Rhinolophus ferrumequinum: one gene and its partners. The protein of the gene in region 3 interacts with the protein of the main gene of each other region in a biochemical or structural test. Links are inferred from orthologs where the notes say so. Each region holds a gene or a part of one and is shown on either strand. Other genes may lie near its edges.

The links.
Region 1: the proteins of XPO1 (region 3) and ABL1 interact in a test that uses a peptide from one of them, tested with the Homo sapiens proteins (2 studies listed by BioGRID). The link is inferred for Rhinolophus ferrumequinum from reciprocal best matches to the Homo sapiens genes XPO1 and ABL1.
Region 2: the proteins of XPO1 (region 3) and ADAR form a complex in vitro, tested with the Homo sapiens proteins (2 studies listed by BioGRID, with this or other methods). The link is inferred for Rhinolophus ferrumequinum from reciprocal best matches to the Homo sapiens genes XPO1 and ADAR.
Region 4: the proteins of XPO1 (region 3) and RANBP1 form a complex in vitro, tested with the Homo sapiens proteins (3 studies listed by BioGRID, with this or other methods). The link is inferred for Rhinolophus ferrumequinum from reciprocal best matches to the Homo sapiens genes XPO1 and RANBP1.

Annotation. Positions count from the first base shown.
Region 1 is NC_046295.1:78,885,174-78,892,800, forward strand, and holds the start of ABL1 (tyrosine-protein kinase ABL1), read left to right. Parts: upstream 1-4,617; 5' UTR 4,618-5,894; coding exon 5,895-6,030; intron 6,031-7,627. UniProt on the Homo sapiens protein: Non-receptor tyrosine-protein kinase that plays a role in many key processes linked to cell growth and survival such as cytoskeleton remodeling in response to extracellular stimuli, cell motility and adhesion, receptor endocytosis, autophagy, DNA damage response and apoptosis.
Region 2 is NC_046305.1:53,159,245-53,166,170, forward strand, and holds the start of ADAR (double-stranded RNA-specific adenosine deaminase), read right to left. Parts: upstream 3,008-6,926; 5' UTR 2,965-3,007; coding exon 2,902-2,964; intron 1-2,901. UniProt on the Homo sapiens protein: Catalyzes the hydrolytic deamination of adenosine to inosine in double-stranded RNA (dsRNA) referred to as A-to-I RNA editing.
Region 3 is NC_046296.1:27,576,035-27,583,459, forward strand, and holds the start of XPO1 (exportin-1), read left to right. Parts: upstream 1-4,406; 5' UTR 4,407-5,182; intron 5,183-7,425. UniProt on the Homo sapiens protein: Mediates the nuclear export of cellular proteins (cargos) bearing a leucine-rich nuclear export signal (NES) and of RNAs.
Region 4 is NC_046308.1:24,568,658-24,576,369, forward strand, and holds the start of RANBP1 (ran-specific GTPase-activating protein), read left to right. Parts: upstream 1-4,700; 5' UTR 4,701-4,859; coding exon 4,860-4,874; intron 4,875-6,196; coding exon 6,197-6,333; intron 6,334-7,712. Other genes in the region: TRMT2A (tRNA (uracil-5-)-methyltransferase homolog A), read right to left, coding at 120-216, 372-488, 788-863, 1,085-1,207, 1,796-1,907, 1,985-2,100, 2,198-2,312, 2,489-2,670 and 3 more. UniProt on the Homo sapiens protein: Plays a role in RAN-dependent nucleocytoplasmic transport. Alleviates the TNPO1-dependent inhibition of RAN GTPase activity and mediates the dissociation of RAN from proteins involved in transport into the nucleus.

The DNA of each region.
Region 1 (7,627 bases), on a different chromosome or scaffold from region 3:
CTGCTATCGTTGGTTTCTTTTCTGAACAAATACCTTTTCCTTTTTCAGATTAAAGACATCTTAAAGCCTGAAATAATGGAGGAAATTGTGATGGAAACTCGCCAGAGACTTTTAGAACAGGAGGGATAAGGAGAAGCATCTGAAGAACAGGACTGTGTGTACCTGTCTGGAGTAATTCTTGAAAGTGAAGACCCTGATTTGTGGTCCTGTGTGGGGCTCAGCAAAGCCCTGGGACTGGGAGACTCATCACTGGACCTACGTCAGGTCGCCTCCAGCCCACAGACCTGCTTTCTTATGTTCAAAGGCAAAGCCTGAGAGAGGTGAATCGCACTGCTGGCCCCTGGGCCTGCCTGCAGATCCCGGCATTAGGGTTATTTGGGGTCTTTAAAAGCTCGCAGGGTTCCAGCTGAGTGGACTCCCTTCCTGGAATAATACGGCAAATCTTTTACTCTCCATCAATTCACAAGGCACAAGGCCCCGTGAAATTGCCCCTCTCAAAACATGGCCGCCCTGACCCCCAAATTGTCTGTTTTGGCTTCCATTCCCACCTCCTCTACAACACAAATACAACATTGAAGAATATAGTTGATAAACGTAACCCAGCAGTCAAATAGAAGAATAAAGGCAGCCAAGCAGCTTTCTGCTTGGCTGGGTCTTATTTCCCATTGCATGCTCCCTTGTCGGGATAGATACAACTATACCTACACTGGCTGCCTTAATCTGTCCTGCCTGTGAGGGTGATTTGTAAGAAGTTGAATTATTGGTAATAGAATGAATGTTTTGGGTGCTCTGATAAACATGAAATCAGAGTAGGAAAAATGGAGATGGGAAAAGAAAAGCTAGTGTTCTATAATTGAAGTAGTAATGCATTAACTTTTGAATAATTTCAGGTTGAAAGATAAAACCAAGCTGCTGAAGTTCTCACTGGGAATGCTAGAATTTGTATGCATTGGTTTTTTGTTGTTTTTTTTTTAAATTTTTTATTGGGGAATATTGGGAAACAACAGTGTGTTTCTCCAGGGCCCATCAGCTCCAAGTCGTTGTCCTTCAATCTAGTTGTGGAGGGTGCAGCTCAGCTCCAAGTCCAGTTGCCGTTTTCAGTCGTTAGTTGCAGGGGACGCAGCCCACCATCCCATGCGGGAATTGAACCGGCAACCTTGTTAAGAGCTTGCGCTCTAACCAATTGAGCCATCTGGCTGCCCCCCTATGCATTGGTTTTTGACGTCTAAAAAATGGTTTCGATTTTGGAAAACATTTTTTAATGGCACTCTGTGAAATGCAATTTTATTTCACATGTGAACCATTTTTTTTATATTTATAAATGTGGCGTTAACATTACTTTCTGTTCTGTGTTCTTTATAATTCTTGGGAGAAGAGTACAGTTGGTAGAGGGCTAAGCAGATAGAAATTCTGCCAGAGGCTCTAACCATTCTACCTGTGTCAGCTATAAAATTTAGGACAGTTTCAGTAGTAACGTTGAACCCTGCATTTGACAGTTTTGAAATGCAGCATGGCTTTTGTTAAATGGTATATTTTTAACGTTACTCAATAGACAATTTTTTACCTCATTCTTTTTCTGTCCCAAAGGTATCAGCTGTTTCGAGGATTTTGCAGACAACTGAATATTCTGTAGGCTGTGTTGCAACTTTAGACCTGCTCACCTGTCATATTTTTGACAACACGTGCCAGGCCGTATGCCTCATGAGAGAAGGGAATGGAAAAGGATGCCTGGGTCCCGGGTTTGGTTTGGTTTTCACCAGGGCCATGTGTAAATTTGTGGAAAGTTATCCTTCTCACCTGTTCTCTTCCCAAGCTGCTTACCCATGCTGTTCATTCAATATCTGCTGAATGGTATCCACTAAGGGGAAATAACAAAGGAAGGTCTGTAAGCACTTTTTAGTGATTATTTTTTGTGGCCCACTAGAGGGCGCCCTTGTTAAGTATTCCAGCCGATGGGAAAAAATGGAATCAACTGAATGGAATAAGGGCAGATCACACAGGTACTGAATCCCTTTAGCAACTTGATTGATTGCTTTGCTTTATAAAAGTGAGGATAACATTAGACTGAAACAAACTACTTTTAATAAAAAGAATATATGAACGTGAGGAATTCAACATTCGGAAACACTGAATTCTGTCAGGCATTTGTCGGGCTCTGGATTCTAGTTTTAAGTCCTTAAAAATATCCTTCTGCAGTGTTGTATGGGGAGTAAAAACGTATAGTACATCTCCAGAAATGGAGCCTGGGCTTGGGGGCTCACCTAAAATTAGAAAATGGGGGAAGTAGAAAATGGAGATTTGGGATAAGTGTTTAGATAAGTGCAGCTGGCCTCCAGACTGACTTTCAGGAAGCATAATTTCATCTTTAATTGTGGAAAACCAAACAAGATCTCATTTGACCCTTATGATAACCTTGTAAAGTTGGCATGTATGACCTGCCATTCGGAGAATTCAAGTGACTGGATTAATCCCATTAGCACCTGTGAGTGAGTGAGGACTAGGTTTCAGTTCTAGAGAGGTGTCAAAATGATCCTGCAGAGAGTGGGTCAGACTCACTGAGAAGGGATACAGGTCTAGGAATTTTATTTCCACCATTGAGACTGACACTTTGGATTGTTACTCATTTTGCTTATTGCCTGTTGCTCCCTCCATGTGTGCTCTGGGAGGACGAGTCCTGTCCCCTCCCCCCACTGTGTCCCAGCACCTAGGACAGTGCTTGCAACACGAGCTCAATAAATGCTTGTCGAATGAATTGTTCAGGAAATGTGTATTAGAGTTTCTGGCTGGATTGCCTGATTTTAATCTAAACTAGAGAATGAAGAATGAAGATGAGCAGGAAATGATTAAAACATGAATAAAAATAAAAAAGCAAGTCTCCAAAAAAAAAAAAAATTAGGGTGGTAAATCAGGATAAGACAATGGGTAAATAAAGGAACAAGGGCGTTGAAGTTTTCAGGGTGATATACAAGCCAGGACCAAGTTTATCGGCCAGACTTTTGTGAGAGCAAAGTTCAACCAGTTACCATCTGAATATAAATTCCAGTTCTGAATCTGGGCACAGATTTTCATGTGCTCACGTTCACTCCCTCCAGGTGACTATTTCTTCTTGAAGCCTACATAAAATCACACCATTTTCCAATCCAAAATACCTAAGTCAAGATAACAATGTACAAGATCTATAATACGGCTGTGGTTTCCCCCTAATATCATTAGCAACTTATGAAAAAATCAGTTGTCTAACATTACGCTGACTGTTATTTGATACTGAATGGTTATGGTGGAAAATCCATGGGCTTTGGATCAACACCAATCTGGACTCAAATCCTGACTTTCTAACATATTAGGTAAGTGACCTTGAGTTAGGTCGAGTTTCTGACTGTTTTCCCAGCTGTCTAATGGAGGATGGTATTACATGCCTCATTGGGCTACAGTGAGGATTAAATGAGATAATACAGTTTATGAAAAACAATTGCGTGGTGTAGAGGAGGCATTGTGATGAGTGATGAGTGATTCCCCTTAGAAACTCGTATATTCTTGTCAGGTAGGTGCACCGCTCTGGGGAGACGTGGAGAGTTAGGAATAGGGAAAAGGTGAATTTTAGTAGCAGAAGATGGGTTCTGACGGGGGTGGGTTTGTGTCCGCGTTATTGGCTAGCTCTGTAGGCCTTACACAACAATGGACATTTTCCCGGCCAACACAGGATGTTTTCAGGTAAATACATGTACACCTGTAAAATGAGGTTTAATTGTAAAGGTTCCGTTCAAAATCCATGATTGCGCCTGGCTCAGCCTCCGAGAGGTGCTTTAACAAATGCTGTTTCTCTAAAGAGAGGCTCCTGATGCCCCAAAGAAACAATGAATTCTTTAGCAATATGTCGGATGCTTTCCAGTCATTTATTTCTCGCTAGTTCTAACGTTTATGCTTCTTGGGAAGAGGTGGAAATTTGGGGTCAGGGAGTGGGCACCAAATACCTTGGTCTCCAGCGGCGAGCTAAATTTTCTCCCTTAAAAGAGGCTCAAGGAAGTAATCCAACTCCGGTTCTGAGAAAGTCCAATCCGCAGTTTTCCCCTTGCTTTGGCTCCTCGCGGGTCTTACCCGCGCAGTGGAGACATTGGCCAACCCTATGCAAGGCCGGCGAGAGTCCACCGGCTCCCAGGAGGGCGGGACCGAAGCTCAGGAACCGGGAGCAGAGGGTAAGACGTCTCGGTGCTCACGGACAGTGGCGCGCACCACCGGACCACAACTCCCGGCATGTCCTGTGGGCTACGCCGAAAGCAGTTGGCTGGGAGCTGTAGCCCTCCTGCCCTCATCAGCCAATAGGACTCAGGCGAGAGACCTGACCCGGATTCTCGGGGACCAATGGTAGTACAGGGGAGGCGGGTGCTGCCTCACTACTCACCTTGCACTCGGAAAGACCACATTTAAAAGGTCGTCTGGGGCCAGGTTCTGGCGGGCAGGCAGACTAAAGCGGGAAGGCCCGGCTGCGTCCCTAAAAGCGGTGTCAGGAGGGTCCCGGTCTTCGCGAGGCGCGCTGCGGACGTCGCCGGGGGCGGGACCAGGGGCGAGCCTGGCCTCGTTGTGGAGCGGCTCGTATCCATCATGGCGTCGCGGGGGTCGGTGTTCGTCCCTGAGCAGCGCTGGAGCCGGAGCCGGTTCCCGGGTCTTGCGGCTGAGGGAGCCCCTCCGTTGTCCACGGCCCCTAGCTGCGGGGGGAGGCTGGGTCCTGCGGCGAAGCTCGAGGGATGTGACTGCCTGGCGGCGGCGGCGACGTCCGGGGCCGGGGAGGGGTGTCTCGGGCAGAGACCCCCGGGCTCGGGGCAGCTGAGGCGGCCGGGCTCCTCCTCCCCCCTCCGCCGCCTCCCGCTTTCGGAGCCGCGAGAGCCCTTCGTCCCTTACAGCCCCGCCCCGGCTCTGGGACCCTGGGGGTGGTCTCTGTTTCCCCCAGACCTGGGACACCCGGTTTCCTGAGGCGTGAAGGAGCGTCGCCCCCGAGTAAAGTCAGCCGACCGTGCCGCGCCCCGGCAGCCTCCCTCTTACCTTCGAGCCGCCCCTCTCTCCGACTCCCGGCCCCAAGTTTGGCCTCGGAGCCCCCCATTCAAATCCCCTCCCTGCTGTCAAGTGGGCTCCCCTTCCCCCCAGGTTGCTCCGGGGAACCTCAAATGCCCTGACTTCTCCCAATGTCACCTACGGCCCCCCTGCTCTCAGCCCTGCCAAAACTTTAATGCAAAGGAAAAGTCTGGACTCGTTTCACAGGCCTTTAAAAAGCGGACTTAAAAGTTGCTGGCCATGCATTCCTTTTCGTCCGAGTCGAGGGCAAACTCGCGCTGAAGCCTGGGTGGACCCGTGTGCTTTTCCGGAGAGCAGGCTAAGAGGAGCAGGAGCGGCAGCTAGTTCGCAGGAGGAATTTGTCGGAAGATGAAGAAAGTAGGGGGTGGGTGACTTCCACAGGAAAAGTTCTGGAAAAGCATCCAAAGCCGATCAACATTTTCTTTATGTGGGGGAGTCAAAATGACTTGAGTATTACTGACCCTTTCACAGCACCCCCTGTGAACATTCCTGTTTAGGTTTTTCTCCTCGAAAGGAAAGAAATTGTTATTCAGCCAGTAAAAGACACGTAAAATCAAGAAACTTTTGGGTAGCTTTGCAATTACATTACTTCAAATTGCTAAACTGCCAAAACTAATCGGAACTCCTGTTTACATATGTCGGCCTAAAAACTGCTTCCTTCGGTTATGGAAGGTGTGTTTTTTGGGATTGACCTCAGTTACTGACTTGTGGAGATGCAGTGAATGTGAAATCCCACATAAACGTATATACAGTTGTCCTCCCAAGCTCGCTGATCATTCTGAAAGATCTTGAACCCTCTTCTGGAAAGGGGTGCCTATCCTTACTTTATGGGGCAACAGCCTGGAAAAGTTCTTGGGGACCAAAGAAGGCCAAGTTTGCCTGCCCTGCACTTTATCAAAGGAGCAGGGAAGAAGGAATCGGCAAGGCATGGGGGTCCACACTGCAATGTATTTGTGGAACATGGTGAGTGCTTTTCAAGCTTTCTGGTCACATTCTGCCTTCCGTGTTCAGCTCTAGGAATGCATAAGGAACTTGAGCAACAGCGCTTGTGTCGGTTCCTTCCAGGTCTTCTTAAAACTTCTGTTACTGTGGTTATCTCTTAGTTTCTTTGTAGAAGAAAAAGTTACTTGGTGACTTGCACGGCTTTATTCAATTTTTTTTGAATTGCTTATTTCTTGCCGGATTCCCCTTCTGACTGTTGACCTTGGACAAGCCATTTTACGACTCCAGTTTCCTGAGGGGTTGGACTTAAGTGATTTCCCCAGGATCCATAGTGCGTGATTCTGTTCTAACATGAGACATGGGCTCTTCCCCAGGCGCATGGATCCTCTACTACTTTATGCACAGAGAACCTTTATCATGTCCTTAAACTCCTAAAGCTTAAGAGCCAGAGATCCTAGTTGACACTAATATCCTTGACCGTTTCAATCATAAGAAAGATTTGAAAACACTCACTTTGCAGCTAAGTGGGAAAAATCAAGTGGGGAGGCAGCATTCCTCATGAATGAGGGTACCCCACCTGGAGATATTTTACCTTATGCAAGTGATACTCCTTTCCCCATGGATGGAGCTTTCCTCCTCTCTCCCCGTTTTAGATGACATTTGGGGCAAGAAAGGTCGTCTGACATTTTTATGAACATAGTTGGCACTTGAATTCTGACAGTGTGTGTTATACTATCACTTCCAGTAATTCTGTGTGAAGTTTTCAAGCTAACGGCCAACTTAGACCAACGTCTATACCAGCTGGCTGTGAACCAGTTAATTAGGGTTTCCTTTGTATTGTTGCAGCCTGACATTTTTCAGACTGGGTGCTTTATGTTAAAATATTGGTTGAGCCCGCCCACCCTATAAGCAAATGTAAGATGTGTGCAAGTGGCATATACTTTGAAATTCAGTCACAAATACCTCTTAACAGTGGTTGACTACAATAAACAAAGGTCTCTGTTCAGTGAACTGGCATTTGACAGTGGAGGTTTGACTTTCTTACAGAAAAATATTCACCTCATGTAAATAATCTGGGTACTTGGATTTTATTTTAAAACTTTAAAACTTTTAGTTGTATTTTAGCATTGGTTTTAGACAGGCAGTTACGGTAATGTGTTATGTTCTGGTGCTTCCCAAATTCAGCATTTATAAAGTGAATTATTTACATTTTTATCTATTAGGTTGGTGCAAAAGTAATTGCGGTTTAAAAGGTTAAAGAGGGGCCGGCTGGGTGGCTCAGGCAGTTAGAGCTCCATGCTCCTAACTCCGAAGGCTGCCAGTTCGATTCCCACATGGGCCAGTGGGCTCTCAACCACAAGGTTGCCAGTTCAATTCCTTGAATCCTGCAAGGGATGGTGGGCTCCGCCCCCTGCAACTAAGATTGAACACAGCACCTTGAGCTGAGCTGCCCTGAGCTCCCGGATGGCTCATTTGGTTGGAGCGCATCCTCTCAACCACAAGGTTGCCGGTTCGACTCCCGCAAGGGATGGTACTGGACTTGGAGCTGAGCTACGCCCTCCACAACTAAGATTGAAAGGACAACAACTTGACTTGGAAAAAAATGCTGGAAGTACAC
Region 2 (6,926 bases), on a different chromosome or scaffold from region 3:
TGCAATTAGGGGATTTGTGCACTTTTGCCAATCCTGCTCACTCAGGCATCCTGGCTGCAGAATCCCTTAGTGACCGCCACCACGTCCACCTTTCGGCCACCAGTGCCTTGTCCAGCTTCTCGCTCAGTCTCACTGTTACTCTAGTCGGGGCCTCCACTAACCTGAAGCTCCCTTCTAGGGGTCAGTAAACTTCTCCTGGAAAGGACCACCTGGGTCTCCCACACACGGCAACCGCGTGCAGGGTGTAAAAGCTCCTTCAAAGAGCAGGAGGGCGGTGACACTGCAGGCTCCTGCTCTCCACTGACAGCAGCGTCCCTGGGCTCCTACAACTTCCTCTCCTTCCTCATAGGACCCCACTGTGGCTGCCAGTCCCGTCCGTCCCCATTCTGGCCTCACAGCCCTCCTCATTCAGCCTGGAGCTCACAGCCAGTTCCCTTCTCCCCCCAGGGCCCACTGCCCCCTTTCTGTTCCAAAGCTTCCACACGGTGCTGGAGAAGGACACTGCCCCTCGCTAACGGGACCCTGTAAACTCCTCCCGTTGAACTTCACGAGGCTGCCACCACCCTTTGGTGGCCAGTTCAGGTCAGCAAGCACGCATTGGATGGTTCACTGTGGACTGAGCTCTCTTCTTTAGAAATTCTCCTCCCAGTTTGGTGACGCCGCACCAAAGTCTCCTCTCACCTCTTTTTCCCTGTCTGTCCCTGTCCCTTTCTGCCACCCCAAGGTCAGCACCCCCCAAGGTCAGCTTCAGGGCCTCTTCCTCCTTCAGGCTGACTTCCTCCACTCCGAGAATCTAAACTAGGCCTCTTAAGAAACAGCGTTCAAAATCCATTATCTCCAGCCACCACCTGGTGCTCAAGCTTAAGGCTTGAATTTCCGAATGCCTAGACAATCTGTCCCCTCAGATATCCTGCCACTGCCTCAAATACCACATATCCCAACCAATTAATCCTTCCCCTCCACCCAGCCCCTTCTGCTGTTCCTGTCACTGTTGACGGCACCATTCCCATTTAGTTATTAGGCCAGTCACCTGTGTTACCCGCCTGCCTTCTTCCTGCATCTCCCACAGCGAGTCTTGCCACCACCCCTGTCTTTGCCCTCACACGGGTCGTTCCCAGCTCCCCCCCTCACTGCCTCTCGCCCCGGCTATCACAAGCTCTCATCTTCCCATCTCTCCAAATGCCAGTCCAAGGGGCCCGCGTCTCCCGTGACTGCCACACGTCTGTTCTTCTCCTTACAGATCTCCTGACATGTCACCTTCTCCAGGAGACTTCCTCCACTTCCATCGCCTCCCGCGCAGCTGCCGTCTCCTCCCCGTGATCTCCTACCCAGCACTGGTTATACCACCTACTTCACCTTTTATCACAGCTAGTGAGTTTTTAGTGGCGCACGCAGATGAGTACATCTGCAAGGTGATTAACAATATAAGGTGCCCTAGAAATTATACTCAACTCCACGCCCAGGAGGGGCTGCAGTCAACTCCACGGTTAGTTCCCCAGGGGGCGAAGGACTATGCTTCAGTTATCTAAGCCAGCACCTGGCAGAGTTGATCCTGAACCAACATTTGGTGAATGAATGACCGCGTGACCAAGACACCCGTAGACACGTGAGAGGTCCCACGCTCTTGCTGCACACCCCTCCCCCACCGCGCTGCAAGGAGGGCTGAGGCGTGTGTGCAGTGACAGCCCTGCTCACCCAGGCTCTTCAGGGCGGTTCTGATTAGCTTTCTGAGTGGCCGTGGTAAAAGAACTTTCTCCCAAAGTGGCTAAAGTCAGTTCCTAGCTAAATGCTTTCTAGATTTGAACTGCTACTGCTTGGCTAAAACCTGCAAAAATATTTGAATGTCCACTGACATAAGAAGAGTCTACTAAACCACGATACATGCATGCTATGAAAGAGTACTTTAAAAAAAACAAAAGTGATGCAATCTATTTGTATTCACCTGGAGAAAATTTAGGAGCAACATAACGTTAAATTAAACAAGAAGAGCAAGCTATAGAGCGACATTATGCTACATTTTTGGGTAAACAAAAGAAAAAAAACCCATGACTATGTATGGGAGTAGGAACACCGCTAGGATGGAGAAAGAACAGGAGGAAAGGATGCATTTATCAACAATCATTACTGTAGGGAAAGATTAGACGGGGTTATTAATTTATTCTTTATACCCTCCCCTTTGAGTCCCCTAAAGGCCAAGTCAAACCCCCACCTGAAAAGGGCCCTCTGGAGTGCCACTGAATGGCAGCGACAGGAAGAAAGTGGGAGACCAGCTTGGGGAGGTCTCCCCAAAATCCGTCCCCATGTCCCCTCACTCACTTCATGTCTATTTACTATGCAAACTACAGAAAAAGCCATTTGACATTCACTGCCCTGCCAAATTTCACTCCAATCTCATATATTTAGGATCAAGAGACGAGTCCCCCACCTTTACCATACGGGTTCCTGACGGTGACATATTGGTACCCGTGGAAAAATGCTTTTCCTTCAAGTCAGGTGCCCTCATCCTTTTAAAGAAGAGACAGGTGTGTGTGTGTGTGTGTGTGTATGTAAAACACAGCCACATACACGCCTGTATATATTTTACAAAATCTTTCTTAAAAATGGAAGGAAACTTACAGACAGTACAACGTATCCTTTTAGTGGACAATTCTCTAAGTTGTGACAACAGAGTCACAGCACAGGTGGCCTCCTAACTACCAGATAACAAGCCACACCGGGGTATTTCCATTTCCCCAAAACGTTTTATCACGCACGTTGCAGTTACTGCTTCACCCACACCACCCGCTGGCAACTGCTGCTCTGTTTTCTGTCCCTTTCGTTTTGTTTTGGTTCAGAATGTCGGATAAAGGAACTCAGACAGCAATGTAGCCTTTTGCGCGGCCTAATGCGTATGAGGCCAACCTTGGCTGTAGCCTGTATCGGCCTTCCTTTTTCTTTTTCTTTTCCGGCCAAGCAATAGTCCATTACACGGATGCACCCCCTTTTGTTTATCCCGTCACCTGTTGCAGGACATTTGGGTTTTCCCAGTTTTTAGCCAAAATAAATCAAGCGGCTACAAAGATTCTCTTACGGGTTCAGAAGAGCTGTTTTTCATTTCCTCCAAAGCCTTCCGGAAGTGGAAAGAGTGTCGAGAGGTGAGTGTAAAAGTAAAGCGTTTTGTCCAAGTGGGGCCAAAGGGGGGGCGCGCGCATCGGGGGTCCTCACGAAAGGGCGGGGGACCTGGGCTCGCGCCTCGCCGCTGTCGGGGGCGCACGTCCCCCCCCACCCCTCCTCCCCGCGTCGCTCCACACGGCAGGAGTTAGCAGGACGAAGCGGCCCGGGGCCCAGGTGGTTACCTGTCTCGGGTCCATTGCGCCCCAGAGGCATGTCCGGGCAGTACGACCCTCTCCCGGTGCGCCCCGCCCCGCCCCGCCCCGCGTGGTCCTCGGTCTCCAGGGGCCAGACTCCGGTCAGTGCAGTCGGGACAGGAACCCCCCCGCGCGGGCGGACACGGCTGCGGCTCAATTTCACTTTCGTTTCTCCGGAAGGACCGCCCCGTCGCGCAGTCGGGCCGAGGGGAGGGGCTGGGGCCGGCGGCACTGGCCCGAGTCCCGGCTTCCAGACCTGATCCTTCCACGCAGGAGAGGGGCAGGTTACCGACTCTTCCTTCAGGAAAAGAGCCATAAATACCGAGCTGCCCACGCCCCTGGCCGGCCCCTCGGAGACATGGGGTAAAACAGAGGGAAACGAAGCCGCTGGGGGGCCTAGCCCTTCAGAAAGGGCCCAGGCGCTGTCCTGGTCCACACGAGTGTCGCCCTGGTCCACACGAGTGTCACCATGTCAGATGTGCGAAGCGGCTGGGGGTGGGGGCCAGGTCTCTACAAAGGACTGCCATCCCCACTGTGCACTATTTACTCACATTCCTTGGTAACAGCCAGTAAAATGCGAGGCAATAACAGCAACTGAACAATTCAGGACCTACATGAAGCCACCCCGGCGCCATCACCCCCCCAGCAGGGGCGAAGCCCTCACAGCCAGCTCCACGTCCTCTTCACACCAGCTCTACAGGGGGGCGTGACTGCCAGACGACAGGTGGACACGGAAGCTTTCCAGGTCTGACTGCACAAAAAGCACCCTGCACCATTCCTCGACACACGCTCCTTACACCACAACTTTCCAAAAGATCACTTCTGTTATTAGAGGGAACAAACTCAGTTGGTTTCGTGATCAGGCGTATGTGTCAACTCTATCTTACTCAAGGTGCGGAGGTACTCGACAGCCCTCTCCCCTGTGAGAAATTATTTTGTTTCATTGCAGTTTCAGCCCCACTGCTTTTGAGATTTACAGGCAGCCCCTCTACAGCGGACGCCTTTCTCCACTGTCCTCCCGTTGCATGCACTCTGAGTGTCAGTCACCTCGGATTTCATTTAGTGTGGGCTGCGGCCTCTCTCCCTCTGTCTGGACAGTGTGTTCCTCCGCTAGAACGAACTTCCTGCACTGCTTCTGGCCAAACAGGCTTTCAGGATCTGCTTTGAATAGGGTGGCTGCAATGGGTGCGTCCTCATTCTGTGCCTCTCCGTTCCTCTGCACCGACCCTACTAGGGCACTGGTACCATCCTCTGAAAATGCCTCATTCACTCATTGATCACAACTGCTGAGCACCTAGTATGTGCCACATGTTTACATACTGAGGACACGATGGGAATAGGAGTCCCGTCCTCAGCTAACAGGCTGGTGGGGGAGCTGGCTGCCCCAACGTTCATCACCATCTTCTGAGTTTCTTGTTTACACATCTGCCTTTAGAGCTGTAAAGTCTTCTTCTCCGGGCAGCGAACATGTGTTATATACCGCCCACCCCCCTTGCAGTGGTGACCTTCAGTAGGTTGGTTTTTTGAGTGAATAATCAGTCGGAAAAACAATAATAATAGTCGGAATAATCAGTTGGCAAAACAGTGGTCCAGGAACTTGACACAAGAAATTCAAATATCAGTAAGCACGTGGAGCGTGCTCAGTCTCATCCCCAGGGTGACACGCACAGACTTCCCGCTCACCCACCGGACAGGCCACATTAAACATGTGATCGGGCCAGCTGGGGACAAAGGTGCGAGCAGCCGCTGGTCACCACAGGGCACCAGCTCACTGTCACTCCAGAAAGGCATGAATAGTCACGCCCTACAATTCAGTGACTCCACTCCAAGACCTGGAGAGTGTGCAGGAACTTCATTGCTCATTATTCAAAATAGCGTCCAAACTGGAAACAAATGTCCACCAAAAGTGAAACACATAAATGGTGGCATACAGCTACGATGGAATATTGTATAGGGACCAAAAAAAAAAAAAGAACTAGGGCCACAGGCAAGCAACAAGGTGGGTAATTATCGAAACATGCTATCAAGTGGAAGAAACCATATACACACTATACGGTTCCATTTACATGAAGTCCTACAGCAGGTAAAACTAAACTGTAGTCTGCACTGTATAAAGGATAGTATGTGTATGATACCTGCCACAATTTTAAATGGTAAAAAAGGAGAACAAACTCCCTAGAACAATTCCAGCCTGTCTTCCCACATTCTATTTTCCACTGAAGGCAAATGAGTTGGAGCTTACCTCTGCTTTCTTGCCTTCGGGCTAAACAATCCCACAGCCTTTAACCTTTGTACAAGAATGTTCCAGAAAAGCCATAATCACAGCTATCGTGCAGAGGAAAGTGCACCGCTGCTGCCTGCATCCCTTTAGTCTACCATGGGAGGCAGAAGAGGCAAATCTGTTTGCTAAGCTGAGGGTCAGTTGGTGCCTTGAAGAAAGAACAGCTCCGTGATTTAACCTGAGCAGCTCGAGTAACCAGAGTCTTATTCATAAACCTTTCATCTCCTCCCCCCAGCAATTGTTTCGGCTCCCATGGGCCTGAGAGGTGGTGACGGAAATCTTTGTGCTGCTCTATGGTAGGGACTCGACCAGTTGGATGAAGCTCTTTAAAAAATTAACCCAAAGTACCGGCCTGATTACAGGAAATATAGACAAGCAAACACAGTGAACATGACCCCCAGTCCCCTCTTTGTCAATTCGCTTATGCCTACCTTCCCGTGTTTTCCCGTGCAGAGAGGCACCCTGACCCCAGGCTCCTCTTCTAAGGCAAGTGCTCAAGTGCCCGCTGCCCCCGGGAAGTAACCCACAAATGCTGTGTACATACCACTGAGGGCTACTTACCAACGACCACCTAAGTGATTACTGTCATCTAAAAGAGGGTACATATGCAAAAGCCCCTCACTCGTCGGTGTTCTCGGAAGTCTGGCTTTCACACCACTGGGCTCCGTTCCGAACGTGCCTTCAGGGGCCTGGACCTCCCAGGTTATGGGGAGGCCGCCTTATCATCTGGCTACTGAGATGGTTTTAGTTTCCAATCGCTGCTATTCTTGCGTTTTCACTATAAATAACGGTTCGTCTGGCTTGTTGTGGATCTTCTGTTTAACCTCACTGCGTGCCGGCACGCAGATTTATAACAAGCGTTTTCAGTCTACAATTTCCTCTAAGCAGACTCCTGCACATATGGGCTCCATCCACTTGGATCTTCTTGCTCCCTATGGTAAAGCAGATGTCTGCAAACTCCCTCAATATTTGCTCACAGTGACACTGCAACAGAATTGCACTGTCTGTGAATGTATGCTACCGAACTTGTAACATAGTATCATAGTATCAGAAAAGTCGTAACTTCCTGGGTTAGTTTTAAGTACTAGGGCATCGTTTTAGACTAGGATAGACACGCACATAAACAAACTCAGGTTATCTTCATTCCTAGGAAATACATAATCCATCGACTCGCTAGACACACATCTATTGCTCTCCTCTTTTTGTTGTTTCTTTTCATTTCTTTATCATTGGGGTTTTTTTTATTCCACTGTAACACTTACTGTCACATCAACATAATTTTCAAAATGCTCAGGGTC
Region 3 (7,425 bases):
AATGATACTTCATTTCTCACTTCTCCATGAGTAAAAGACCCATTGTGGTATGTCACTTCGTAGAACTGTATAAATTTCTCAGATAGTTAAACTATTACTCCTAGACTTAAAAGCCCTGTCAGATGCTTTTTTTCACTGTGTCCTCAAAAAGGCAGCAACTCACTTTCAGACAATTGCTTATTCTGCTCCTGAGTGATTTGAGGTTTCACAGACTCCATATAGATTATTCACTGAGGTCTTGGACACATAGGAATTAGATTCACAGATAGAATATTTTAATTTTCCATAAACATTCTCAACACTGTAGATTGGGGTTGATAGGAATAAATGTGAACCTGAACTATGCGTTCTTAGGTCAATTTTTTCTTGCAAAGAGTATCCTTCTCTTCCATCTTCATGCTTCAGCATCATACACAATTTTACTGTTCTCTGTTACTTTGGTAATGTTTTTGAAATCTAAGCATGTGATGTGATGTAGTGTTTTGCACAGTATTTTTAAAAGCAAATAGAAAAAAGATTTTGTATAAAATATTCTCAAAGAAATTCGCCTCCCAGTGCTTCCTTTCAGGCTTTACAAAGTCACAAATGTGCCCTAGATAGTCATTAGGAAGAATAAGCCCATGGGATTATGACTTTGTTCTCGATACATGAACATACCCAGTGAATCATGGTATGTTCAGTCCAAGTGTCTGATTTTCATGACTGGTAGGAAGAAGTGCATTTTGGAAAGTCACTGTTGCTGTACCTCTGAGCGCAAAGTGGTATCAATGTTCTCAAAACGATTGAAATAACAATTTTGTTATTAAAAATAATAGATTTATTGCATATCCTTAACTTAAAAAAATATTTTTACTACATTATATGGGCATTTAATCTTATCATTTGTATATTCCTTGAAGAGCTCACCGTCAGGGAAGATTGCCTTCCAGAACCAAAAGTTCAAATTAAAATGCAAAGATTCCTTATTTAACTCTGGTGTGACCTTAATATCTATAGCTTTGATAAGGAATAAACAGGTACTGTTCACATATTGTGGTGGGTATGCAAATTGACACAATCTTGCCAGTACCTATCATAATAACAAATATACTTGGCCTTTGACACAGTAATTCCACTTTTAGGATGTTAACTTAGAGATATATTTACAAATGTGTCCAAACATAAATGTACTGGGGTATTTACTGCAGCAGCATTTGTAAGGGGAAAAATTGGAAATAGCCTAATTGTCCTCAGTGGGGGGAATTGTTGAATTATTTCTGGTACTGAGAAGATGGGGAAAGCTATGAGGCTGTTAATAAAGGATGAGGTAGATTTATACATTCTGACATGCTAAGTAAAAACTCAAGTCACTGAACAATATGTATAGTATGATATCATATATGTTGAACAAAACACAAAGCAAATATGTTTGTGAATAGATAGAAAACATCTCAAACCATCACACCCTTAATGATGATTATCTCTGGACAGGAAAAAGAAATGGCGGGGCATAGGAAGAGGACTTTTACTTTTTTAGTGTAGATAATTCTTTCTCTATTGTTTGAATTGTTAAGTGATCATGCATTACTTTTTAAATTAAAAATAATTTAAAAAATAGAAATACACGACAATTGGTAGAAAGGAATTTATGAGTTTCTGTTTCTCTTATTTTTGATGAATGTTATTGTTTTGCGAGACAATGTGAACTAGTACGAAGAACACAAACATGGGTTCTAGTTATGGACTAAAGTACTATGGGGTGGTGTGTACCTGCGTGTATGTGTATATGCGTATGAATGGGGGCGTGGAACAGAGTGAGATCTGCAAAATAGTAACTATCTTACAGGGTTGCTGTAAGAATTCAGTTAAATATTGTACAAAAAAGGTCTCTAACAGTCTGCTAGACAGCAGGCAGGCACTCAATATGGTTTACCGTGTTTCCCCGAAAATAAGACCTAGCCGGACAATCTTTTAGAGCAAATTTTGCTCTAAAAGACGCATTAGAGCTGATTGTCCGGCTAGGTCTTATTTTCGGGGAAACAGGGTATTTACATTTCCTTATCCATATCCACCAAGGTTTGAAATCTGTGTGAGTCCAACAAATGAAGGTAATGAAGAAAGTATTAGACACACGTCAGACCTGTGTTCTGAATTTGATCCTGAAAATACAGTGATCAAACATAATTATCTGCCCTGTCACTTCCTTTTGCACTTGTTAATAAGAAGCTTATATTGAATACTCCATTTTGGCTAACTCTAGGCAAAAAAATAATGGGCTAAATACAAAAAAATGTACACACATATTAAAAAAGGAAAACTGTATTATAATTTTAATACTCAATATATACCAATAACAAAAGATGAATACAAATCATGTGTATACATTTTTTTGGCACCCCCGGTATTTACATCTGATTCATTATGGTCACACAATATGAACTCCTGGGGGTATGATTTAAAGAAGGGATGAAAAGAGTCAAAGAAGGGGATAGCAAACTGAGACCATTTGAACTTTAAAATCCGCAAAGTGCTTTATGGGCCACAGCACTCCTTCACATCCACTTGATCCTTACATGTATTAGACAGGCATAGATGGTATCAGTTTCATTAAGTGTGTCAGAAAAAAAAAATTGAGGCCCAAAAAGATGAAGTGAATCACCCAAGGTCACAGTCTGAGCAAAACCAGGTCTTACTCCCAGTTTTTATTCCTATTGTTCTGCCATCTAAAAATTCAGTGACTGGTCAAAGCTGAATATGTAGAGGGAAAAACTTAAAAAAAAAAATAGGACAGTCTCAGTTTTTCTGGTAATAGAATGTTAAGTGTTCCAAATGATTAGTTTATGTCATATATATTATGGTTTTGTATTATTCAGATAGGCAATGAATAAAAACCTTAGGTCTGAAAGTCATCCAATTATCATTTTGGTAAATTTAGGCAATAAGTTGTTGGATTTTTCTTTATTGGAGGATGAGGGAGTTATTTTATTTTTTTAATTAAAGTTTATTGGTGTGTCAATTGCTAGTACAGTTACATAGATTGCAGGTGTACAATTCTGTAATACATCATCTATGTATCACATTGTGTGCTTACCACCCAGACTCAGTTCTCTTTCCATCACAATATATTGGACGAGGGAGTTATTTTTAAGTGGTGCTTTGGTGTGTCAGCCATTGACCACTGTGAGTGAAGATTTGCTGAAAAAAATTGATTTAATAAACCATTTATCAACCTCTTGGTGGCACAATGGGCCCAGAAAATTTTGGTGTGCCGCTCGCCTTTTCTTAAGCAAAGAACAATCAGTAAAGCTGAGGGCACTTGGGGACAATCGAGAGGCAACCATGTGAAAGGCCACGTGCGCGTGACTATCATAGAAAATACTATTTGGTGACGATGAAGCATTAGAAGGGCAACTATGCTGCAAAGAAAAATCGATGGTACAGGCAGATCAAGGGCACCTAGTGGGAGGCAACTGGCATGCAAGATTACCCAGCGAATATATGCAATGTTAAACCACTATAGGGATTAGTTTTTAGGAAGGGTTGGTTGTTGAAGCAGCCAAATTCCAGCCTGGGGAGACACCGAATTAAATTTGAAGGAGACTTGCCCAGCAACTATTTGTCTTTTGCAGGTCTCTGAGATCATAAGGAGCCAAGCACTAACGTCTCTACTACACCTCACCTCAACCTCTTTTACGGTTGTTCTCACCCTCAACTCCCCAGGCCCCAAACTCAGGGCTTTAAAATGGATTAGAGGTCTGGGGCCTACATTTGGCCTCGGATGTGTTCGTTTTCTTTCCACCCCTCTCCCTGATTAGAAAAATTGGGTGTGCCCTCCCTTTTCGTAGCGCAGCCCCCATTCGAGAGGGCGGGTCCTCTTCCGGCGGGCTCAGGCCCCGCAAGTTGGCGGGAGCCGACAGGGGCGGGACGGCACGGGTCCGGGAAAGCCGAGCGAAAATGCTGCGCGCCGCGCTCAAACTCGCGCCACCACCAGCTCACGAGCTGCGCCCCACCCTCTCCGTCACCAAAGGCGCCCAGCCAATGAGCGGGCCGGAAAGGCTGGGCCAGCGGGTGTGGGAGAGGAAGCAGCGGGAGGGGGACGGGAAGTCGAGGGCGGGTTGCATTTGATTGGCGGCTCACTCGAACCAATCTTCCACGCGTCTTCTTTTCGCTCCCTTCTCTGCTGGGCTCAGCTCTTCGTCCCACCTCCTCCTCCTCCACCCCTCTCCTTGCTCCTCTTCGACCCGCCCCACTTCCCCTCCCCCACTCTGCGGGCAAATCGCTGCTGGAAAGAGGCGGGGGCCGAAGCGGCGGGCTCGTGTGGAGACTTGAGGTGGGATTGACGGGGGATCTGGCCAGTTAGAGGTAGGCTGATGGCGCGGCTGTGGCTGGAACCGGCCAATGGGCGGTCGGGCTGGGGGCGGAGGCCCAGGTTCCAAACGCTCCGCGGCGCCATGGGCTGAAAACTCAACCGAGATGGAATCTCCCAGTCTGAACCGGTTTCAACCGGTTCCGAGTTTGAGGCACTAGGAGGAGGGGGAGAAGCGGCTGCAGCGGCCGCGGCAGGAGCAGCGGGAGCTACAGCATCAGCAAGAGCAACAGTAGCTACAGCCCCGGCGGCGGTGCCTGTTCCAGTCTTTGCTGCTGCAGTCCGTGCAACCACCCAGAGGGGGAGGGGGGAACCACCAGTCGCTGAGGAGCAGGAGAAGGGGGGAAAGTTTAGGCGAGCCGGGGTGGGGGGGGCCCAGCGCCGGAGCCGCGTGAGAGAGGGAGCCGTATTTTGGTAGGGGGAGTCGGACTGCAACTGGCAGCAGAGCGTCCCCCGACCGTGTGGACTCTACACCCCCTACTCCTGCCGCTTCTGCTGCCGCCTGTGGCTGGAGGGTCTCCCTGGGGCTGAATCTTTGGGACTTGACCCCGTTCCCCTCCCCCTTTCCTTACTCCCTAGCCAGGCGGGAGCATTTATTTCTCAGATTAATTTCCCTTCTTTTTTGGGGGGGCGGGTGGGTGTGTTTCGGGGGGAGGTGTCCCTGAAATAGTAAATATTGTTGAGCTTTTTTTGCCCTTATCCTTTTTTTTTAATTTCCTTTTTTAAGGTGGGAAAACTGTGAAACCCACCTTGATTTCCTCCCCTCTCCCCTCTCCCTGCCTTCCCTCGCCCTAATCCCCCGACAAGGAAGGAAGAAGCAGTTGGTTCAATCTCTGGGTAAGTCGACTGTGTCTTCGGGGCCGAGGGTCGGGCGGCGGCACGGCGGGGCGGGAGGAGGCCGGCGTGGGGCGCGGCGGCGGCCGCGGGAGGCGAGCCCAGGAGGCGGCGGCGGGCCCACAGCGGAGCCTGCGATTGAATGGAGCCGCTTCTGCCACTGGGGGATGGAGGCGGCCGCGGGAGGGGAGCGCTTGCTGGGTCATTCGTGTGTGAGGGTGGCGGTGGAGGAAGGCGAAGAGCGTGATAGTGAAGCAGGGCCCCCACGCGGGGGTGGAAGGGCTTCCCCAGCCCAAGGGGATAGGGAGAAGTTGGGGTGATTTCAGGAACATCTCTGTAAATTATTAGGAGTGGAAGTTTCCAGAAATATTTAGTGCAGCAGCATTGAAACGTCCGCCTGCATCACGTGGCCGCTCGGTGGAGAGCTTGGGATCGAGGGAGGGAGGGGCTGCCGAGTCCCTGCTCCTCTTGCAAGGAAACTCAAAAATCTTTCTAGTTTTTTGCAGGGTAGGATTAAAGTAGGAAAGGTTAGTTGATTTTTTAGGGATCTGTAAATGGGTTCCGTGTCCCAGTTTGTTTTCGGGGGCTTGAGTGTGTTGTGATCGAATCATTTACTGCTGGTGTTGTAGAGTGGACGATGCCCTGATTCTCCTTCATTCCGATGTCTCTGAGTTTGGCGTGGGTGGGAGGAAGTGGTGTAGTAGAGGAAGCATTAAAGATTTGTCCAGCCCCGAGCTCCTCTGATCACGCAGAGGCCATGCTGCATAGAGAATGGGGCGGTGAACTTGGTGCGCCTGGTGTTTGCCTCCTCCGAGTATGGGCGGGGTGAGTGCGTGCTCGGGTATGCTATAGTTAGAAGTGCTGCAAATCGCTTCGGGTGGGAGCGAGGGGAGGGCGGGCCTTAGTGAGGTGTGTTTCTACTGAATGGAGCAAGCAATTGCCCACACACCCAAGTAGCAGTCTCTGTCCTTGTAGCGACTTGTTTTTTTGACTTACTATGTAGTTATCATTAAGCGACGGTTATGATTTTACTGTTTTTGGATGTGAGCTGGCAGTGTGTAGCTGTCTGCCTATTCTGTTGGAAGTGGCAGTGAAGGTATTTTGGTAGTCACTTGTAGAGTCACCACGTTGCTGGATAACGTATACTATCCAGTGAGTGGATTTTAGGATTGAGTGTCGCAAAGAATAAAAAGCTGTGTTGTGGTTTTTCCCTCTCCCGCTATGCCTGTTTGCTATCTGCCTGATTGTATATCTTAAGCGTGTGGGATACTGAAGTTAGTGGAAAAAATAGTTGGGAAGCTGATTTGGGGGACTAAGTGTGCTTGGCATTGAACAGAAAGCCGCCATTTCTGTACTACGTACAGTTCAAGAATAGGTAGGTCATTTCGAAGATAGCCGCTAGTTCTAAGGATGGCAAACTCTAATGTGTTTAACACAAGTTTCTATTCTACATCTGAGTTTTTAGCAAGAATTTAGCTGGAAGAACTCCAAGGACAGTGTACTCGAAAATGAAACTTTTAGAGCACGTTACTTTTTTGTTTTGGCTACTAAATTATGATAGGGTTAAATGGGAGAAAAGTTCGTCTAGTTTTTAATTAAAAAAAACACTTGATATGTAGATTTTGGTGCTTTGTGGACATTGCTGTTCAACCTCAACTTTTAAGGCTGTTCTGCTCTTTTAAAATTGGCACTTGAAGGGAGGACACATTTATTTGGAATATATTTCCTTTTTTATATGGTTAGTATTTAGATCAAAGATTTTTGTTGTGTATGCTAATATTGTGTATTAAAACACGTTTCATAACTGCTATAAAAGTTTTTGAAATCATCAGTTTTACTGTCAATGGATCAAAAGACTTAGGAATAAAAAATCCTTCAACTCTTAATTTCTCGTGTTTTTACATTGTCTAACTTATGTCTAACTTAACTGACTCGTTTTTTCAACTAATAATTTGTTGTAACTGATATCGTTAAATGAAACGTGGGTTAAAATTGAAATTGCTGCCATTATTAACATTTTTAAACTGCTATAAAATAGCTAAGAAATAACATCTTCCAATCAAGCTAGTTTGTCCAAACATAATGGAATCAAATCAGACACCGACTTCCTGATCTTGGAAGGTTGTTAAGAGGGGGACACCAGGCGATGACCATCTGACCTTGTTGGGTCTAAATACAGTAAACCAAGGTTTCTTAACGTGAGGTTTCACGCATGGCTTTCAGAGTGTCCTGAGTCTTTTGTAGTT
Region 4 (7,712 bases), on a different chromosome or scaffold from region 3:
CCCGGCAGAGACTGTGGTGGAAAGGGAGCAGTCAAGGTCAGCCAGTGGCTGGGGCTCCTGTGGGGGGAAGGGGGTTCGGTGCTGGCTCCAGCCACCCGGGGCCCCCACCTCACACTCACTCCACAAAGTTGCCCATGGCTGCCCGGGGGTTGCAGGAGACATACAAGAGCCGCTTGAGGTTCTCAGCTCTGCGGATGGCCAGGATCACTTTGGAATCTGAGGAAATAAGACTCCCTCAGGGAAACGTCCCCACCTCAAGGAGGGCTGGTGGGGCTAGTGAGCATGGGCATCAGGCCTGAGGCTGCACAGCCTGGTGTGCCAGCCAGTGTCACTACCCTCTTCTCCATCATCCCCAAATGGATGCCACTCACGTAGGCCAGCACGAGGCGGGTCCAGGATAGCAACAAGCTGCTGAGAAGCCAGTCTGCTCACCACGGTGGGCACCAGGTCTTCGGCCCTCCCGCAGTGGAACTCAACGTTGCTCAACTCTGTAGATAGCACAGCAGCCCTGTCGGGACGCAGGACACCGCCCCCGCGCACCCCCTCGGGCCTGCCCAGCCGCCTGGTGTCCTGATGCCCCTGTCTTGAGGCACCTTAAGAAAACCTCTAGCCAAGGAGCCTGTTAGCACTTGTGTCACACAGCCCGGGCCTTGCGGGCACACATGGACACAGCAGGAGCCCTGCTGTGCTCTGCACACCGCCCTGCCCTCACCCCGCCCCTAGAAGCCATGAAATAAGATTTAGGTGCTGTGCTGAGATGACTGCCCACTGGTGCGCTGGCTCTCACCATTGTTGCGGGCATTCACATGGGCGTCCTCCACAGCCTCCTGGCACAGCTCAATCCCGATGACTCGCTTCACTTTCTGAAGTGAAGAAAGGGCACAGACTGATAGTGCCCTGCCCCACCCTGGGGGCTTCTTGGGGAGGGGAGTAGCAGGAGGCACTATGGGGAGAAGAGGCTCTGGGACAGGCTGGGGGTTCACCTCAGTCTTTCAGGTGGGGGTCAGTGGGGGTCACGAAGAGGTGATAGCACATGGGTGGGGGTAGGCAGAAGGTGTCTTCAGCTTGGGGCAGGAGGGCTCACCCGGGCTAGGGCCAGGCCAATGGTGCCAGTGCCACAGCACACATCCAGCACTGTGCTCCCGGAGTCCAGCTGGGCCCAGTCCTGGATAACCGTGTAGAGCACCTCCGCGGCCGGGCTGTTTACCTGGAGGGCGGGCCAGCACCACGCAGGATGTCAGAGCAGTCCTGCGTCCCAGGTCAGCCTCCCCTCCTGCCGCCCCCACCACGCCTGTACTCCGCAGGGCTCTTTCCCTGCTAGGAGACCTGTGGCCCAGTCCCTGGCTTACTCCCCCTTTTCCTAGGTCTCCTGCTCCCACCCCTTCCCCACCTCCAACTGCCCCTCCATACACCAATGCTGCATAACCTCACCCAGGGCCCGGGCCTTAAAAAGCAACTTGATGCTGACCCCTTCTTCCCCCAACTTATGAACTGAGTGCCAGATGTATGGGGCCACCCACAGCAGCAGCAGGCATGGATGACTCCATCACAGTTCACACAAGAGCCCTGGCATCGCCAACTCCTACACCCCACATAGGGCCCTCAAGCACACTCGTCACAAGGGTCTAGTTAGTGCAAACGACTTCATTCCGACCTCACAGCCCGGATGCTCTCCCCCAGACCTCTGCAGGTGAACAACTTGTCACCGCCTAGCGCACTGCCTTTATTACATCTTGACGTCACATCAGGACTCCCTTTGTGTCTTGATTATGAAGATACGGGGACTCTGGACTACCTGAAAGAAGGCGTGAGGGGAGATCTGGAAGGTCAAGCCCAGCAAGTCCTCATGGATGCACCGGTCCCCAGCCACGTGCTCCAGGGGCAGGCCCTCTTGGCTGGGAGTCTTCCTATGGGTGGTAGGCCAGTTGGTTAGTGTCACCAGCTCTGGCAGGAATCCAGCCCACCACCTACCCAGGCTCCTCACCGCTGTCCCTCCTCCACAAAGTACAGGCAGGTCACGCCACTGGCCTTGCCCGGCCCTGCTGTGAAGTGCTGCGCCAGGGAGGCCTTCAGTCCTGCCAGCTCCTCAGGGCTCAGTTTCTGGAGTAGGAAGTAGAGAAGGTCCTGTGAGACTGTGTTGCATGCAGCCCACTCAAGCCAGGACACCCTCCCGCAGCAGGGCCACCCTGCCTGAGACCTGAGGGTGGAAGTAGGCAATGGCCATGGCTTGGCCTCGGCGGCTGGTGCGCACGGTCAGCTGCTTCCAATGGCCTGAGTATGTCTCTGGGTTGTACGCCGAGTATGGAGTGGACCTGTGGGAGCCACGAGCGGCCGTGAGTCCATGAGACCTGCCACCCATGCTGACCAGAATTGGGAGATCAGCCTACCTTCCTCTCGTTCGGCCACACCCACCAGGCAGGACCCGGCCCTCTGCTCCCAGACCACCGCAGGACATCCCGGAGCCCCCAGCCCAGCCACAAGTCCTCACCGGATGAAATCCTGGAAGGCCTTCACCACCTGCTTGGTGGCCTTGGGGATGTGCACGGTGTCAAAGGGGGCCGCCACAGCACATGTCCCACCCTTGTACTTGCCTAGCCGGCAGCCGACCGTGTTGTCCTCCCCATCCACCCCGACGCCAACGAGAAACTCACACTTGTTACGATACTCGGTCTGCAGAATGGGTGGAGGAAGGCAGAGACATTCCTGACCTTACCCTGGCATTCCCGCACTTGTACATGGAGGGAAAATTGCAGGAAGTGAGAGATGGCAACGAGTGAGAGGTCCCAGCTCCCCAAAGGGCCTGGCAGTCCAGGGCACAAGGCTGACAGCAACCAGCAGTCACGTGACGAGTATGAGGAATAAGTGGAAAGCAGGAGGGATGGGAGAGATGGACTAAGATAGCTTCTTTAAGAGCATGGGGTGAAGGTTTGTGGGCCTGACCTGCTGGGGTGACGGCCTGACTCCCTCCAGCGGGCAGCAGGCCTTGTTGTGCTTGTGCTTCTGTGAGAGCAGCCAGGGCACCAGGGCACGGTTGGTGCTCCCAATTTCCCTGCAGGGTGAGGTGAGGCCGGGGTTGGACTCAGCCTGCTGCTCCCAACCCATCTCCAATCACTCTCCAAATACCCAGGCACCCAGAACCTCCCTTGGGACCTCATTATCCCCACTGGTAACTCAGGGGTCTTACTGGTTAGCTCCCCAAGACAATGTGCAGACCCTGAGTGTGTCTGTACAGTGCACAGGATGGGCTTGAGTGAACATGGAGCTGAGCAGAACTCCAGTGCCACATAAGTGACTGTGCCCTTACTCACTTGGCGAGCCTCTGCAGCACCTGCTCGCACTCCAGCCGCTTCCGCTCAAGCTGCTCTGTGTAGGGCACGGTCCAAAGAGGAGTCACCACATCGGCCACACATGTGGCTGGTGGCTCACTCTCATCCTCACGCTGCCTCTTCCTGGCCATGGGATCAGCTTTAGGCCTGGCCAGGCGCACTCTGAGAGGGCGGCCCTTCCAGAGAGCACCGTGCAGCACACGCAAGGCTTTGTCCCGCTCAGCGGCACTGCGGAATGTCACAAAGGCGCAGGGACGTTGCCCAAAGAGTTTGGTCTTATGGGGCTGCAGGCCAAAGCGGCCCAGAAAGTGCCGCACATCGCTGAAGCTGGTGCGGCGTGGCACGTTCTGCAGCTCCAACTTGAAGATCTCCGAAGTGAACAGGTCGTCCCTTATGTAGCTGTAAAGCCCAGGCTGAGGCCCTGACTCTGCAGCCGCCCCAGCCCCCTCTTCCTCCGTCTCCTTCTGGGGGGCGGGGGCTGCAGGGCTGCCCAGAGCACTGCTGCTGTCCTGGTCGCAGCCCTCCATTGGCCCCGGGCCCTGTGTGGACACAGGCAGGGCTAGGATGAGGGCTGAACGCCCAGGCTCCCCGGCCGCACACCCAAACCTCCGTTAGTGCATCCTACACCCATCCTACACCTACCCCTTTTTACCCCCACTTCCTTCCTCTCCCAGCTCAACTCCCCGTGCCCACGGGTTTCCTACCTCTCCCCCCCCTCCAGCCCCTCCCACGCAGTCCGCCATCTCGGCCCCGCGTCTCTTGCTAGGATCTCCCTTCACTTTACTTCGTTGTCGAGTTTATCATTCATCGTCCAGTTTGTCCAAGGCCTGGACTGGAAGCCCCACAAGTGCCGCCTCCGCCTCCTCGCCCTGGGCCTGGCGCACAGAAGGCGCTCAGAGCACAGGTGCGGCGCCGAGAGGCCGCCCCCGGTCCCGCCCCGTGAGGGAGTGGGTAGGACTGGAACCCTAGGTGCTCAGGTCCACGGTCTCGGGTATGGGGTACACTTCCCGCCCGCCAGAGGCCCCGCGCACGCCGCTCTCCCCGCCCGCAGCTCTCCCGTCGGCCAGTTCGTGCAGACTAGGTGGCGCGTGTCTATTATCCTAGCTTCCGTCGACGTCATCGCTGTGCGCCGGCACCGACCCCGGTGTCTGTCGCCTGCTTTCGAAAGCTCGAGGGGCGCGCGCAGCCGTGGGGCGGAAGTGCGCGCGAAGGCCGCCGGGAGCTCACGCTGCTCTGTCCGGGCGGGCCAGGCATGCGCCGCGGACGTTTTGGCGGGAAGCGCGGGGTGGGCCGGACAATGAGATTGTCCGTCGCCTGAGCCAATAAAGCTGCACTGGTTTTGAATCACGGCGCGTTTCCCGCCGCTGGGGTCAGGGGTCAGGGTTCGGGTCGCGGGGCGGAGGGAACTGCGGGCGGGCGGGAGGCGCCGGCGCCAGACGCGGAGGGAAGGAACTACGACTAGCCGCAGAGAGGCCGCGGAGCCAGGGACGACCAAGCCAGCCGAGCCGCCGCCGCCGCCGCCGCCGCGCCTCCATGGCGGCCGCCAAGGTGCGGCTGGGCCCGGGCAGGAACTGGACGGGGGCCGGGGGGCCGAGGCCGCTATTGGCGGCCACGTGGGCGGCCCGCGCCGCCGCCGCCAACCCCCGCTGTCCTGCGGTCTCGGCGTTTGGGGTCTCGGTGGCGCGGGGTAGGGCTGTGGGAAGCGCGGCCTGGGGGTTCGAGGCCTTCGAGACGGGGGCGCTTGGGACCTGGGGGCGCGGGCTCGGGCCCGGGGGCTGCGGGGTGCCCGCGTGACCTTGGGGCGGCCCCGGGTGGTCGGGCGAGCTCCATCAGGACGTGGGGCGGCCCCGCCGCCCCAACTCCTTGGTCTCGCGTTCCTCTCACCGCTTGCCAGGGACGCAGGGCGGGTGGCGGGTTTCCTCTGCTCGGCCCACTTGCGGGCTTCTTACCAAGACCATGCATCCCTCCTTCTCGTCGTCTGCGCAGCACTTCATTCATTCTGTCCTAGTCTCGATCCGCCACAGGCCTCTGCGGCAGGACCTCTCGCGTTCCAGCGGGGTGGACGGGTACTGGACGCGCCGACCCAGGGAGGGGACGGCTTTGTTGGCTGCGTGGTGGCTGCTTGGGTGAGCTGGCTGCGGCCGAGCCGCAGTGCTTTCCAACCAAGGAAAGCAGCGAAGGCTTATCTTTTCTTTTTCGGCTTACATCTGGTAGTGAAGTGTCTTGGTTTCTTTTGGTTTTATAGCTCACCAAGCCACTCGTCCTGTAAACACTTCGATCTAACATAAGATCCTTTGTGTTCTATAGTTCTCTAAAATGGACCAGCATTTTATGGCTTTTATTTGTATGTTGTCTTTTGACTTATTAACTTGGTTTCTGAAGCAACATAAAGGTGCTGACAGAACTGTGAATTTTGTGTAAAACTAGCAGTCCCAACTTTTTTTTCTTCTAGTAAGCAAGAGCACAGATTTTTCCCAGCCAGTAAAAACTCTTAGGGTTGTTTTTTTGCTTTAAGGGTGAAATTGCCTTTGAGGCCCTCTTCAATTCTTCCTTCATTGTGTCTTTTGGTCTTCACGTGGCAGTATCACTTATCCACATTTTATAGATGAGGAAACTGAGGCTCAAAGAGATGGGGCAGTTTCTCAGGCCATTCCACCAATAGGTAGCCGAGTTTTAGGCATCCCAGTCAAATATGATTGATGCATCTGGGGGACGATGCTGAAGTCCAGCGTCTCACTGTATGCTGGACGTACATGCAAACCTTTCCTAGTGTGAAAGGCTATGGGCTTAATCTCTTGCTTTGGGATGAGGCCATTCACCAGTGCGAATGGCCACTTCCAGCAGTCACCTCTCCACACCTCCCTCCACAGGACACCCATGAGGACCATGATACCTCCACCGAGAATGCAGATGAGTCCAACCACGACCCGCAGTTTGAGCCTATAGTTTCTCTTCCCGAGCAAGAAATTAAAACGCTGGAAGAAGACGAAGAGGAGCTTTTCAAAATGTAAGTGACCTGATGTTACTTCAGAAATAAATATTGTTAGTTGAAGATGCAGTTTAAGGTTTTTATGGGTGTCGAGTTTCTGGCCTGACCTTTAATCAGAGTGAGGCTGAAGAAAGGGCCTAGACTTGTGTGATGGCTAATACTACGTGGAAATCAAGGTTGCTGTTAGAATCCACTTATTAGATTACTTACTAGTGGGTGCCACTGCTGCCCCATGGCCAGTGCTGTGGAGGGCACAGACACTCCCTAGAGTCCTGTCACTTCTGCTGTGTTCACAGGGTGTATTTTCCTTTGTGTCTCAGCTGACTCCCACAGCCCCTTTCCCCTGGTTGAGCAGGGAGTCTCTACCTTTACTTCCGTTATTATTAATATTTTTGCCATGGATTTTGGCAGTTTGTAGCTTGTGAATCCCTGATTTATGTTTTTAATGCACAAAATTAATGCCTGGAATTACGACAAAAGTGGGTGGTGTTAGAATTATCAAGATTACTTTTAAAAATTACTCTAATTGTGCTTCTTGGTGCCTTCAGTGAGAAGCTCCAGTGCAGGTGTTATTTTGAAGCAGTGCCTGCCCTAGCAACGTGTTGTTGAGATGTCTGCAACAAAGTCACAGCCCTGCCCAGCCTGTGGCCTGTTGCTTATGCTCAGAATTGCAAGAAATGCTAGGTTCAGTTACAAGTTAATGGTGATAGTGTTTCCCTTGTCCAAGCTTGTGGAACTCGCCTGCCCCTCTTCAGATCTATCCAAGATACCAGGTTAAGACGGGGGAGACCAGCCCCTCCCCACCACTCCCAAAGGCCTGGGAAAGGAGAGGTGGCAAACCCCTCTTTGGTCTCAGGGTGGTGGAATTGCCCTGAAAACACTGGTTCTCCAGGTCTCTGCTCTGTCCAGAAATGATGCTGCAGCCAGGGGCTGGCTCCTCCCAAGAGTGAGGACTGCTGGTGGAGCTATTGCTGTTACCTCCCTGCCCGCACAGAAGGTGGGAAGTGCTCCTGGTGCCCTAGACACGAGTCCTTCCTGAGGGAAGTGAAGCCAGCAAGTAGGGCCTTTATATCTGGGCCCTTGGGGCTCTAGGCCAAAGCTCTGGAGGTGGCCTTGTGAGAACATCATCTCTCTTAACAGAATTGCGTTTGGGAGGGAGAGCAAAGTGTTCTTCAGTAAAGGTACCAGCAGAGCTGGGGTCCTGTGATGGGGAGCAAAAGGGCAGGATGGTCAGTGGGGTTGGGAAACATTAGCCTGAGCCCTAGGGCAGGACTGCTGGGATGGGGGCCTTGCATGGCCCGGTGTGAGGTGCTGTTCTGGGCAGGGAGGTGGGATGTTGGGCCAGAGCCTGGTGGCCTGAGCTGAGGCCTGTAGCTCCCTCTCTGGGCTGGAGGCCA